Xenopus tropicalis: one gene and its partners. The protein of the gene in region 3 interacts with the protein of the main gene of each other region in a pairwise test. Links are inferred from orthologs where the notes say so. Each region holds a gene or a part of one and is shown on either strand. Other genes may lie near its edges.

Region 1 (3,500 bases), on a different chromosome or scaffold from region 3:
CATTAAACATGCAATGCATAGTTAAAAAAAAGTAAGGTGAACTAAACCACTCCTTTGTGCATTTGTAAATGAACGCGCTAAAAACATTGGTACCTCCATCGTAAAGTTCTCTGCCCCCCCCCATACCAACTATTTAACTGCAGAGGACTTACATAGGAGTGAGTGGAGTTGGTGCCGCCATCTTTGGCCCCATCACATCCAGTTTCAGAATCCTTGTCACAAATCTGGTTGGTACTATTACCAATGCCAACTAGAAAAACCATTCATGATTTGTATGGTGGGTAAAACGGAGGGTTTCTTTTGGTAAATGTGAACAAATATTTGCTGCTTATTTGTCTGCTTATTTTGATCTGTGCATTAGATTACCTCTTCAGAGCAATCATAGCAGCTCCCACTGATAAAAATAAACAAATGCAGAAAAATAATAGCAACAGTAACATATGCCAGTAGGTTTTACTGATCACAAGTCAGTCGTATAGGTATCTGTACTCTAAGGCTCCTGTGTTTTCTGTACTTACCTCTTCATTTTTTGGGAATGGTATTGAATAGATTATAGAAAGGTTAAAGGCATATATTCTCACATAATTAACCCCTAGCTCTGTAATTCAGCTTCAATCGTTACTAGGGTATAATTACTGTTCAGTTAATGTATGTCATGTGAAAGGTGCTTATGTACCACTTTAAGGGACAAAAAGGCATTTCCCAACAAATTACTTCATTTATTTATTTTATGACTTGACTTGTAAGTTTTTCTGCAGCGTCTGTCACATTTAATATTGCATTTACTGGTGCACTATTCCACTGGGTAATGGTTTCCACAGTAGGTGTGATGGTGATTTTTGGGTCCCAAGATATTTCTTGCTGTCAGCTCCCTGGAGATTGTTCTTGGCTGACTTAATTAATGGCATCTTTATCATCAGTTCTTTGTGCAGCTTCACAGAAGCTGGCATACAAAATCATCTATGTTTATATCCCGTTGCTCATGTTGCTCTCTGATTGTGCTCATTGGAGCAAATATCATGTTTTGTAAATGTGAAGTTAGTGTTGTGCCCCCAGCTAATAGAGTTGTGAATTGCAGAAAAACTGAAGCAGCAGTGTTCATGTACAGCTTGAGCTTTTATCCAGAACAGACAATATCGAAGAAGCTCTGGTTTCATTATGGAACACCATACTATGAGGCATGCTTCTAAATGTGCGCTTAGAATAGAATATATCCAGTTTCTTTTCTGTGGGGTTGGGGAGAGGAAGCAGAATATGTTTATACTGTATTAATGCAAAAAATGTTAATTTTTTTGTTTTTTGTACAGTCGGCGGAATTTGGGATTATTCCAATGGCCCTCAGTCATGCCCGTGATGCATTCTCGTTTGGTCGACTGATTGAAAGTCTTTTGGCCCATGTTAGTGATCAAAGTAAGTACCTATTTTCATACAGAAATGTTTCTTTTGTATTGTGCCTAAGTTTCCAGGCCCTACTTTACTTTAGGAACTGATTTTTAGGATTTTTTTTTTACAAATGCCAATTTTAAAATAATAAAATATAGAACACTTGGATATCTCTAGTGAACTGATTTGTAGCTGTTAGAGGTCATTTTAGTTATACATTTGCAAACATTTTTTTAGATGAACCATTGTCCAACTTTAAGTCAACCGTGAAGAACTCTCTCCTGAACCCAGAACCAGAACTCCGACCTGCACTCTCCACTTTACTATCCCATGATTTCTTTAGGTATGTAATTGTTTGAATCCCACCTCAGTATCTGTTACTTTTCATATCCTATTTGGGGGCACAGATAATGGCACTGAGGTGTGCATCTGTCTGTACCCAGCAGCTAGTTGACAGATTTATTCTTCCTATAAGGAGGGCCTTGGGCTCTTGTTTTGGGAACTTAAACGCTAGAACCAATCCTTCACTTGACAGGTATCAGATGTTAGGGGACAGTCTAACCAGTGCTAATGGCTAATGACTTAAACACATGCTCGCAAAGAAATAAGGATAGAAGATATGTGTGTTGAAGCTCAGTAGGCCTTTATCTTTAATTACAGTTTTCATTTCATTCATAGTGCAAATGTTTGTTTTGGCTTTGTTTCTATTCATTGTCCTAATATTTTAGTACTTATTTCCCGTCAATAAATATATAGTACAATATAAATTAAACCTGCTGTGGAAAGACATCCTACACCTTTTCTATTTTAAGTTGGGAAAATAACTGTCTGGTTCAAATCCAGACAATTTTTTTATTATTTATTTATTTTTTCCAAAACTGTTTCAGTACTGGATGGGTCAGCCTTCACAGGATTCTGTCAGCCACTGTTGTCCTTCTCAGGGAAATACATGCAGTTTATGTGTAAACCAAGCAAATATATAAACTGTTGAATTAAAATGTAACCAGTTGTACCAAGGTACCTGCATAACCCCTCCTTCATGAGCTTTCTCTTGCTGGAGTCAGTAACATGGCACATCTACATAAATTAAGCTGCAGCCAAAATTCTGCTGCTCCAGTTTGGAACTGGAAGTTTCCAGCAAGTCATTTTTATTGGAGTCCCTGCTATGGTGTTTATTTACATTTTTTCTGCATTAGCACCTTGTGTGCTTGCAAACAGAGTTCCAACGCTCTGTCTGTTTCAAGTTTGTCCCTGAGGAAGGTCACATTTTGTGACTGAACCTTTAAACTAATCAAATAAATGTTTAATGTGCCTTTGATATATATTTATTATATTTTTGTGCTTTAATTACATTTGACAAAATTATGCCATGGTTATATGTTGAGCCATGACCATTTGTCATACCCTGAAGGATGTAGATAAGGATTGCATTTTACTTACTTGCTGTACCTGACTGTTATGTCACAACCACGTGGCCACTAACAGTGACAGACATTTTACATATCCAGTTACCATTTTGTTTTCTTCATTGAACAGGAATGATTTCTTAGAAGTTGTGAACTTTTTGGAAAGCTTAACTGTGAAAACAGAAGAGGAGAAGAATGAGTTTTTCAAGTGAGTTTTAAATGGCATTTACTGCATATCTATTATCCCAGTGATGCTGCAGCCCAGCTGTATTACACTTTTAGTATTACTTGTAGGAAATATTTAGTTGCCCTCCCAACTCTCTCTCCCTTTTACTGTCTGTTTTAATATGTTGGTTTCAATAGGAACTTCTGGGGGAATCAAACTAATTCCTGTTCAGAATACATGATCATCTATCTAAAAGACTTTAGTATAATTAATGGCATTGTCAGAATAAGTTTCTGATACATTTGCAGTCCTCTGCAGCTTTTCTAGCCTAATAATCAGATTGACAAGCAATATACCTACCTGTTTATGGGAAACATGGTACCTGAAGCACAAGTAGCAATGATAGTCAGACCTCTGTTCAGAAATGCTCTCCGTTTTAGCTGGTTTCTGCTCTGCTTGAGCATTTTTGTTAGCATTGTTGCTTTCATCCACCTCTCGTCACTTTGGGCAGGAGTTCTACAATGTTTACATGTACTTTTGGAGAA
Region 2 (3,500 bases), on a different chromosome or scaffold from region 3:
TCTAACCATAGAGTCTGCCTATTTCTATACTTCCAATCAGTCTGTATAAGCTCCCAGAATATGTATAGAGTCATCTGTTAATCCAGCACAGGAAGGGGCAGATTCACTAGATGTGCACCAAGGGACTGTCTATCCTAAAAACCTTTTGGTAAGTAGCATAGTATTCCACCTTACTGCCACCTTACTGTTATGGTTGGCAAAAAACTTTTATTTTGCCAGGAGAGGTACATGGATGGTATAGGAGACTAAAGAGTTTGAGCTACTTATAATGGGGCTAAAGGAAACATTAAAGGGGATCTCTACCCAAAATCTTGCCTAATGAAAGTTTAATTCTCAGCAACTTTTTAGACACCATTTAAAAATGGTATTAATGGTAACCACTGCTCCAACATGATTACTCATATGTGACTGAACACTTTACTCTCAGTGAGCCTAACCACTTGACATCAATCTACTGTACTGTAGATTTTTACACTATTTTAAGATTTGCTTATTAGAACTCACGTGCTGCCTTTCATTCAGTTTTACACGGTTTATTTTTTTTCCATTTACTGCCATGCATTCCACTAAAATATCTACATTTATGCATCAACAATAAAGGTGGGAAAGTAATCCCCCAAAAGTAATGTGCCTATGCAATTGTGTGATTTATAAATTTTAATCTACTTGTGCAAAGAATGTTGAGCAGACACAATACAGGTGTATAAATCTGATTGGTAATGTTTTACCATCAAGAGACCATGTGTAAGTACCAGCCACACAGCTGCAGCATGGCGCAGGCTGCCTCCTATCAAAGCACCTGGAGCAGATGTAGAGACGCATCAGGACAAAGCTCAGGATGGAGGCCACTGCTGCTTATCGTGCCTCTCCGTCTAGGGATAAACCACATCAATCCTGTATATGTTGATGCTTTTAAGGTGAGTTATTGTAATCATTGCCACAACTTTATTCATATGAAAGTAATTGTAATGACAGAACTGTGAATTAAAAACCAACACCCTGGAACGAAATGTTGACAGTACAGGTATAGGATCCGATTATAGGTATAGGAATTCCTTTTTCTCTGTAATACTAAAACAGTACCTTGTACTTCAGAGGTCCCCAAACTTTTATACCTGTGAGCAACATTCAAGTGAAAAAGTGTTGGTGAGCAACACAAGCATGAATAAAAGTTCCAGAGGTGCCAAATAAAGGCTATGATTGACTATTTGGTAGCCCCTTTGTGGACTGGCAACCTATAGGAGGCTCTGTTTGTCAGTACACCTGGTTTTTATGCAACCAAAACTCGCCCAAAAGCTACCCCTGGGAGCAACATCTAAGGGGTTGGTGAGCAACATGTTGCTCGCGAGCCGCTGGTTGGGGATCACTGTTGTACTTGATCCCAACTTAGATATAATTAATCCTTATTGGAGGCAAAACTATTTGAATGATTTTTAGTAGAAGTAAGGTTCGAAGATCCAGTTTACGGAAAGACCCTTTATCCAGGAACACCAGGTCCTGATCATTCTGTCATTCTGGACATATATACTGTACATATATGTAGAAAAAGTCTGAGGCACACACTTATAGGAGTTACAACCTGGGGGCAAATAAGAGAGACAATATAAATATGTAAAAAATGCTGATGCACACCAGGAAAATTTTATCAAAAAAAGATACTCATTTTATTTCCATCGACGTTCGATCCTCACTCATATATATATATATATATATATGATAAAGTATCATTTAGATTAATCGCTGTGGTACACTAGGCATTTCTGTCATTCATATATCACTTTATTAAAGCTGGTATATTACCAGTTGGGTATCTAGTGACACTGACATAAAAACATTAATAGTTAATATGCCCTTATCCTCAGGAGTGCTAAAATAATTTTTAAAAAAAGTACTTAGATAATAGCTATTTATTTTGTTGTTCATATTATTAGGCAAGCACCTAGGGACAGATTCAAAGTTTTAAGGATATGATACCTTCCCATAGGAGAATGGGATTAAAAAAGAAACAAGAAGCACCCAATGAAAGTTAGTGTGAAGATGACCTATCCTCAAGAGTGCTAAACTAGTTTCATGCAACAAAAAAGTAACTGTGATGATAATTTTGTTTATTTTGTGTTTCTTTTCTCTCTAGGCATGCTTTAAAATGCCCCAGTCATTAGGAGCTTTAGGAGGAAAACCAAATCATGCCTATTATTTTATAGGGTTTTCAGGTAATGTTTCTTATTGAAAACCTCTCCCTACTTTATTAGTTTAGTATTGTTCTTACTATGCACACATTTACTTTATCAACTGTTAAAGAAAGGATTGTAAATTCTGAAAGTGCAGCTATGGAGAAATATTAACTCGATTGCTGAAAGGGTGACCACATGGGGCATTCTGTGGGAAGGTGTGGCAGCAAGTCTGGATGGCCCAAGTGGCACAGTACACCAAATATAGGTAAACTTTACCATAAATAAACCTCAACATGGAGCTGCACCCTTTATTTAAACCATTAAATGGGTAGTTCACCTTTATAACCTTTAAGTATGATGTAAACTTTGATATTCTGAGACAGTTTGCATTTGATCTTAATTTTTTGTGGTTTGTGTAAGTTATTTAACATTTTGTTTAGCAGGTCTCCAGTTTGGAATTCCAGAAGGTATCTGGTTACTTGGGTCCTATTTACCCTGGCAACCAGGCAGTGGTTTAAATGAGAGCCTGGGAGTAGGAGATGTTTCAGTAGGAAATAACTAAAACAACTATATATATATATAAAAAAAAATAATGAGACCAATTGAAAAGTTTCTAGGAATTGGACATTTAATGATAAATGTTAAGGTAAAAGTGAACAAAACAATCAGAGGCAAAACTGCAAGCCATTTTACCCAGAATTCAATATAAACAGTCTGTATAAAACAACACAGTAATGCAAATAAATAAACAATATTTCACTAAAAAAGGTCTGATCGTAAATTAATTTCATTCTGAAAAATATTTAGGTGGTTACCTACTGTTCTATTATTTTCTGTAGGAGATGAAATAATCTACTTGGATCCTCATACCACGCAGACGTTTGTAGACACCGAGGACCAGGACCAGACGTACCACTGCCAAAAAGGCCCTAACAGTATGAAGGTTTTGAATCTGGACCCTTCAGTAGCATTGGCAAGTTTGTTTACAAATGCACGGTTTTGTTTATTAGGATAAATGCTAGACCAGGGGTCTGCAACCTTTAAGACATGAAGAGCCACTTGGACCCGTTTTCGAAAAGAAAAAAAAACTTGGAGCTGCAAAACCATTATAAAACAAATCTAACACAGCCCCCCTATAATGTGCCAGAGTCCAGGCCCCCCTATAATGTGCCAGAGTCCAGGCCCCCCTATAATGTGCCAGAGTCCAGGCCCCCCTATAATGTGCCAGAGTCCAGGCCCCCCTATAATGTGCCAGAGTCCAGGCCCCCCTATAATGTGCCAGAGTCCAGGCCCCCGTATAATGTGCCAGAGTCCAGGCCCCCGTATAAT
Region 3 (4,051 bases):
CACAGAGAGGAAGTTAAAGGGGATTTCCACCCCTAAAATAGTTTTTTGCATAATGAAAAACAATCCAAATTTCCAGTGCACATTCTGTGATTTTCAAGTTATTTGTAAAGGAAATTTCAGCTAAAAGCTGTGTTTGTTTATCTCTTTCTGTTCTCTGGTTCTGACTCTTGAAACAATGTAGCAGGAGTCAGTTCTCCTCCAGGTCTGCTAATCAGTCGGCTTCTGTTATTGTGTTACCACAGTCAGAACCAGCAGTGCAGAAAAGGTATAAGTCAGTGGTTCTTAACCGTCATAATGCCGCGACCCTTTAATACAGTTCCTCATGTTGTGGTGACCCCCAACCATAAAATGATTCCTAACCCCTGTGAAAGGGTCCTTCGACCCCCAAAGGGGTCCCGACCCACAGGTTGAGAACCGCTGGTTTATCTTTTCCTGTTCTCTGGTTCTGAAACAATGTAGCAGGAGTCAGTTCTCCTCCAGGTCTGCTAATCAGTCGGCTTCTGTTATTTTGTTACGACAGTCAGAACCAGCAGTGCAGAAAGGGTATAAGTCAGTGGTTCTCAACCTTCCTCATGTTGTGGTGACCCCCAACCATAAAATTATTCCTAACACCATCAGAAATATGTGTTTTCTGATGTTCTTAGGCGACCCCTGTGAAAGGGTTGTTCGACCCCCAAAGGGGTCCCGACCCACAGGTTGAGAAGCGCTGGTATAAGTGAAAGTGTGGCTCGGCGCCAGGGAATAGATTATGGGCTACAGATCAATGGCCGGAAGTGGTTATACAGGGACTTTGGCCGCTCTCTGACGCAGGTTAATAATGAGGCCCAGGTCCCTGGCCAGTCGCAGGTTAATAGTGTTATGTACCGCAGTGCTGTACTGTTGTGTCACCTTGCCTTGTGACTCTGGCTTTCACGTGATCCACAGAGAATAAACAGGTGACTCAGACAAACAGGTTTGCGTGTCAATCACTTGCCATGCCCTGTGCCACTGCCTATTTACTATATCTCATCCTGGCCTGCACCCTTCCCACTAACCCCCACCCTAAAAACCCTGGAATATGATTTCAGCGCCTGCGAGCTATAGGGTTCTTTAAACTGAGACTGTTTATTTTTCATTTGTCCTGTCTGGCAGAGAGAAGGTTAATTTCAGCATCCCCCTTTGTTTTGTTCTGCTGGTACTGCCCAGGGGCGGGGCTTAGTGATGTCACATTGCCCTTGCTCAGTACACTGTAACATAGCTTGTTATTGCATCTGCTGAGCAGTAGACAGCGAGGGGCATCAGCTGACTGATATATACATTTATATACTGTATATACACTATCTCCTGGGGCAGCCATGAAATTCCAGTATAAGGAGGATCATCCTTTCGAATACAGGAAGAAGGAGGGCGAGAAGATCAGAAAGAAATACCCGGATAGGGTGCCTGTAAGTAGGGACAGCAGAGCTGTGTCATCTCCCTATGGATCCCACTCTCCATCCCTTGTATCCCTTGTATCTCTCTCCTACCCACACTGTATCCCTGTCCTACCTACACTGTATCCCTTGTATCCCTGTCCTACCCACTCTGTATCCCTTGTATCCCTGTCCTACCCACACTGTATCCCTTGTATCCCTGTCCTACCCACTCTGTATCCCTTGTATCCCTGTCCTACCCACACTGTATCCCTTGTATCCCTGTCCTACCCACGCTGTATCCCTTGTATCCCTGTCCTACCCACTCTGTATCCCTTGTATCCCTGTCCTACCCACTCTGTATCCCTTGTATCCCTGTCCTACCCACGCTGTATCCCTTGTATCCCTGTCCTACCCACGCTGTATCCCTTGTATCCCTGTCCTACCCACGCTGTATCCCTTGTATCCCTGTCCTACCCACTCTGTATCCCTTGTATCCCTGTCCTACCCACTCTGTATCCCTTGTATCCCTGTCCTACCCACACTGCATCTGTACAGCACCCTAATGTCCCCCTGTCAGCACAGATATGGGTTCCCTTAGAGTGAATTCCGACCCAAAAACTGCTTATTGCACAATGAAAGACAATGTAATTCCAAGCGACTTTCCCATGTACATTTGTTATAGTATTTCGGTGTTCGATGTCATTGCTATGGGAAGTACCGTCTGTTCCTATTCTCTGAACTCCTCCTGTGACAATGGAACAATGTAGCAGCCCCTGGGCGGGCAGGACTTCTGCTACATTGTTTCAACTCTGGAAAGGAAGCGGCAGAAAGGGAGAAATTAATGTTAATTTCAACGGCAATTACACTAAGTACAAACCATTAAAATGGAATGTACATTGGAAAGCTGCTTAGAATGACATTTGCTATCAGTGTGCGTAAAACAGGTTTTGGGTGGAGTTCCCCTTTAATTCCTTGGCTTTCTGCTGACGGCACAGAGCTTTGTAGTTGTGCTGTTCCTTCGGTAGGGAGCTTTGTGCTCTCTGCCAGACTTCCTATGGGCCGCAGTCATTGTTAGAGACATCTGTAAGAAAGAAAGCCACTCATTGTCACCTGCCCCTCCTCCGATTCCTGGTCTGTCACCTTCTGCTGCCACTGAAACATGTACTGTCTGTTGCTATGGACTGTCACTGCCACTGCTGCAAAGCCATTGGCTGTCAGCTGCCCCCACTGCAGAGCCACTGACTGTCACCTGCTGCCTTTTCCTTGGCTCATACACTGCCCCCCCCCCCCTGCTATAGATCTGTAGCTTTATACCCCCCTCCCAGGCTACAGCTCCTCATTATATCAGTCCCAGCAGTGCGAGTCCTGCATGTCACTTTCCCTTGGTGCAGAACATTGTCCTGTCTAGTTACTTATTGACTGTCACTTTCCCTAACCGCAGAGCTTGCAGAACCATGTACTGTCACTTATGTAAGCTCTACGGGGCAGGGACCTCCTTCCCACTGTGTCTCATACCACATGGCACTTATATATATATATATATATATATATTGTATTTATTTATTATATCACTTGTCCTCCCTGTGTGTAATTGTGTATATTGTAAGATTTTACAGCGCTGCGTACCCTTGTGGCGCTTTATAAATAAAGTTATACATACATACATACATACTCTGGCTGCAGAGCCTTGTCCTGCCTTGCAAGCGACTATACACACTCGGAGCTACTAGTAGCAGCTACTTTTTCACGGCTCATTAAATGATCAGCATTGTCTAATTTAGTAGCCAAGACAAGTAGCTGCTACTAGTAGTTCTGTGTGTCTTCACCCTAAGAAGGATTTATCTCAAGGTGGGGAGGCATAGGCCTTTCTACAATGCCCATGTTTGTCTTCTTCTCCCAGGGTAAATACATTAGTAATACTAGTCATCAGGGACAGACCTTCTCCTGCTCCCCCCCTGTATATAATAATTACGTTATTGTCCGGTCCCCTGGTCATAAACTGTTATTCACAAGAGCTATGAATATCTTGTAACTGATATCCTTATAAACAGTGCTTAGTGATGTCATTAGTTATAAACGGTGCTCAGTGATGTCATTTGTGTTACATGCAGGGTCGGACTGGGCTGGCAGGACAAAAACGTGGTGGGCCCCACTGGCCCAGAACTGATCCCTGCTGGGCTCTCCGAGGCCCGCAGGTCCCCCTCTCCCAATGTGCCTAAGTATGCACGCGTGGGGGAGGGGGTTGGGTGGGCAGCAGGGGCCCGAGGGTGATGGGGACCATGGTGGAGGTCCCTTGGGGGGGGGGTGCAGAGCCCCCGCGGTGACTTGTCTTACAATTTTGAGTTCCCTGACCTGTATAAAAGTGCTCAGCCTGTGTCCTTGTGCGTTTATATGGCTATGGGTCTCATATGTAACTGTTAATATCCTTGTAATACACAAGAACCATGAGTTTCCTTTAACATATATCCTTATAAACAGTGCTTAATGATGTCTTTGGCCTTGTGTTTTTATATGGTCAAAGTGACTTATAATATCCTTATATTTGTATCTTTCATATAACCAAGAGCTTTAATGTGGATTCTATAAAATGTTAATATTTATACATTATAGAAGAGATTGCAGGGCTAATTAGTAATCTATCCCCCATATGTTATACA
Region 4 (3,500 bases), on a different chromosome or scaffold from region 3:
GTGCCCAAGTGCAAAACGCCTGTTATACAGAAGAAGCATATTTGCCAATGTTACTGTTCTCTTCTGTCACCACATCTTTTCTTTTATCCCATAAATACTGGTGTGGACTGGGGAGCTTGCTCGCGCGTTTGCGCATGCGCTCGGGAGGGATGGGGGGCGGGCTTGGGGTGCCACAACTTTAAATCCGGTGCTTCGTGTGCGTTAGAAAGGTGGTGGGCACACTGTGCCTCAGTACAGATAAATTATACTGTTTTTTCACCTTTAGTTGATCACTGAATAATATGCGCTTACATTTGCCCCGGAGCTTACAGGCTGGCACTTCCATTCCAAACAGTGGTGATGTTATGAGTGTCCACAAGAAGAAGGCTTATTATAAAGTGTGGCCAGTTGGGAACCATATTTGACAGAACTTTGAGAGTGCAGCGAAAAAGTTTGAGAACCTGCTGCATGGCCTGTGGGTATCTTGCTGTCATCCATGGGTTAAACACGATGCGCATGGATTTCATTCTGTTCTTTATTGTATTGGCAGCGCTGAGCTTTCTGTGATGGCTCTGATTGTCTATCAGCACAGTGATTGCCATCCATGGTGGGCGGCTATAGATCTCTGCTGTTAGTGCGCGGGATAGAGCAGCTGTCAGAGCTGATGAGATGTAGTTTTTGCTCAGCAGGGCAATTTAAGTGATGCGCCTGAGTGCGGAGAGACACGTGTGACATGCTTGAGTGGCGCTAGCTCCATGTGCACATCACTCCTGGCTGCGTGCTGACACGCGACTCTTGTGTTGCCTTTGCTCACTCTCACATTGTCAGAGGGAACTAGTGAGTTGTGACGTGCTTCCAACTTGCATGGATTTGCTGGGAGCCCAAATCAGAGATCTGTATACATAGTCTCATCTGTTTGACTATCTATACTTATACTGTGCAATAGTTACTTTAGCACCCAATTCCCCTTATTGTGTTGGTCTGTAGTAGGCTCATTCACTTATAAGCTCTCAAAGACTCATGTGAATGGTTTAGGGTTAAGGGCTGTGACACACGGGGAGATTAGTCGCCCGCAACAAATCTCCCTTGTCGCAGGCGACTAATCTCCCCGAAATGCCATCACACCGGCGAGAATGTAAATCGCCGGTGGGATGGCATATGCGGCACCACAATTTCCCCGAAATCGCGGAAGTTGCCTTGAGAGGAAACTTCTGCGATTTCAGGGAAATCGCAGCGCCTGCGTATGTCATCCCACCGGCGATTTTACATTTATTGCGGGCGACTAATCTCCCCGTGTGCCAGAGCCTTAAGACACACGGAGCTATTAGTAGCAGCTAATTGTTACGGCTACAGACAGACAATCAGACAATGCTGATCATTTACTGATAACTGTCTCTACGTGTGTTTTAGCAGAGGCAATTCTCAGTATTCTCTATGGCAGGGTATTTTCTGGTGTAGCTGTGACAAGTAGCTGCTACTAGTAGCTCAGTGTGTCTTTACCCTAATATGTAACACACGTGTTCAGCTTCAGCCACAGTTCCTGGGGGACTATAATAACATTGATGCACACATTCAGCGTCACACAGTTACTGGCACTCACATATATCCCTCTTGTTTCCTGGCCCATCACTGCACCAACTGTATTGCAGTCTCTCATACAGAAATCCATGTCAGCCATCAGTGCTTTTCTGCAAGGAACATATATGTGGAATAAAGCTCAGTAGTAATGTTATCATATTCACATTGCTGTGTACTGTCTGTTAACTGGTGTCCTTTTGTTTTTGCTTTTAAAGGATGAAGACGATGATGATGATGACGATAATGTAAATTTTGAACAAACTCCTGATCCTACACGCATCGCCATGCATGACCAATCAGGCTTCTGCTTTGAAGCAGGGTAATAACATTTGGAATATTTTTATTAAAAAAAAGTTTCATGCAACTCAGATATCAGTAGATAGCAATCATGTGTAATAGTGTTTCATTTTACCTGACCCCTCTGGGCCTTTTACTGGGGTCAGACATGTCTGTCCCCTAATCCTGCCGAATGCCATACGTGTCTGTCAGAGACAACTCGTGTGTTCTGTGTTGGAGAATTACCCTTGGGAGCAGCCACTGGGACCAAACCCCAGAAACTGCTGAGGCATGATGGTTCTTTTCCCATGCTGATACCCGCACATCCCAGGCGCAGGGCAGAGTTCAGTTTTCTGGAAATAATTGGATTTGAGTTCTGTGCAGCCAGTTTTGTGTATAGGGGGGCAATTGAGTGTGTGCATTGTATATTGCCACCGCAGCACCCCATGGTTAATGGCTGAATTTGTTTTTTTAGGTACACTATGAATAAGAAGTGCCCTCTCTGCCCAGTCTCATTTCCCCCCAACTACGACCAGGGCCAGTTTGAAGCCCACGTGGAGAGTCACTGGAAAGTCTGCCCCATGTGCAACGAGCAGTTCCCCCCAGACTGCGACCAGCAGATCTTCGAGCGGCATGTGCAGACCCACTTTGATGGCAGTGTCTTGAATTTTGACTAAAGCCGCCATGCTTGTTGTATGTTTGTAATGTAGCGGTGAGGAGATCACCTTAAAAACTAGGTGTGCAATGTAGCTTAAAGCGTCACTCCCCATCAGAACCAATGGGGGCAATAAATCTGCTTGGAAGTAGGGATCTGTCATTACTTTCCCTTAAACAGACTATAACGTATGTGGCCATGGGCTGTCCCTTCATGATTTCATATTCCTCAGTATCCGCACTTGTCTGAACCCATCCTTAGTCCCCTCATTCAGGGCAAGCAAAATGGCAGTTTCCATTGATATATACTTTAATGAAAGCAGCATATGGCTTGGTTGCTGGTAATATGCTGTAATTATTTGCACAGACATTTATAATAGATTAAAGTCAAGTGAATCCATTATTCTTATACCTATCTGTTTAGCGGAGAGTGGGATAACCCACTTATACACGAGGGGGTGGGAAACATTTCCCTTTAGAAATGTTCTGCAATGATTTAAACATAATTTCTTGCTTCTCTTACGATATGATAGATTTAACTTAGTGTTAATTGCAGTTAATCCTTTAAAGACAAGAGAGGCCACGGTGTAAAGGGCACAAAACCCAAATGCTACCAGTGGTAGAAGAAGGGCAGTTCAGTGATGGCATATGCTAGTTAGGGAGTAATCCCATTGGTCTGATTGCAGCATGTCTATTTATACTTCTGATAAAGTGTTCTGTGGCGCTGGGAAAAATCCACCCATTGCTTTCTATTCATCTCTACCCTGAGGTAATATTACATTAATAGCTTGGTTATTACAGGCGCTGTGTGATACCCGGAGGAGCCCGCACACAACACTAAAGGGCATATTTATCAAGCTGCGCAACAGAAGAAGTGGAGTTATGATGCACTACACATAGCGATAAGCTGGGAATAAGTGGGAGGCGGAGAGTACAATTCTCTGTGGTGGTTCCTTGTTTTGTTTAATAATTTACCTTTTAGCTCAGGAGAAATTATTGAGCAAATTCAGGTG

What was found. The genes of interacting proteins can lie anywhere in the genome.
Region 1: the proteins of gabarapl1 (region 3) and scyl3 interact in binary tests that used the Homo sapiens proteins (3 or more experiments, as listed by UniProt). The two-hybrid records come from large-scale screens. The link is inferred for Xenopus tropicalis from reciprocal best matches to the Homo sapiens genes GABARAPL1 and SCYL3.
Region 2: the proteins of gabarapl1 (region 3) and atg4a interact in binary tests that used the Homo sapiens proteins (3 or more experiments, as listed by UniProt). The two-hybrid records come from large-scale screens. The link is inferred for Xenopus tropicalis from reciprocal best matches to the Homo sapiens genes GABARAPL1 and ATG4A.
Region 4: the proteins of gabarapl1 (region 3) and tax1bp1 interact in binary tests that used the Homo sapiens proteins (3 or more experiments, as listed by UniProt). The link is inferred for Xenopus tropicalis from reciprocal best matches to the Homo sapiens genes GABARAPL1 and TAX1BP1.

The regions. Positions count from the first base shown.
Region 1 is NC_030680.2:118,619,637-118,623,136, forward strand, and holds part of scyl3 (protein-associating with the carboxyl-terminal domain of ezrin), read left to right. Parts: intron 1-1,307; coding exon 1,308-1,410; intron 1,411-1,620; coding exon 1,621-1,726; intron 1,727-2,919; coding exon 2,920-2,997; intron 2,998-3,500. UniProt on the Homo sapiens protein: May play a role in regulating cell adhesion/migration complexes in migrating cells.
Region 2 is NC_030684.2:52,216,564-52,220,063, reverse strand, and holds part of atg4a (cysteine protease ATG4A), read left to right. Parts: intron 1-735; coding exon 736-917; intron 918-2,131; coding exon 2,132-2,210; intron 2,211-3,010; coding exon 3,011-3,144; intron 3,145-3,500. UniProt on the Homo sapiens protein: Cysteine protease that plays a key role in autophagy by mediating both proteolytic activation and delipidation of ATG8 family proteins.
Region 3 is NC_030683.2:18,818,247-18,822,297, reverse strand, and holds the start of gabarapl1 (gamma-aminobutyric acid receptor-associated protein-like 1), read left to right. Parts: upstream 1-1,251; 5' UTR 1,252-1,334; coding exon 1,335-1,424; intron 1,425-4,051. UniProt on the Homo sapiens protein: Ubiquitin-like modifier that increases cell-surface expression of kappa-type opioid receptor through facilitating anterograde intracellular trafficking of the receptor. Involved in formation of autophagosomal vacuoles.
Region 4 is NC_030682.2:42,570,269-42,573,768, forward strand, and holds part of tax1bp1 (tax1-binding protein 1 homolog), read left to right. Parts: intron 1-1,772; coding exon 1,773-1,876; coding exon of another isoform or gene 1,877-1,880; intron 1,881-2,308; coding exon 2,309-2,510; 3' UTR 2,511-3,500.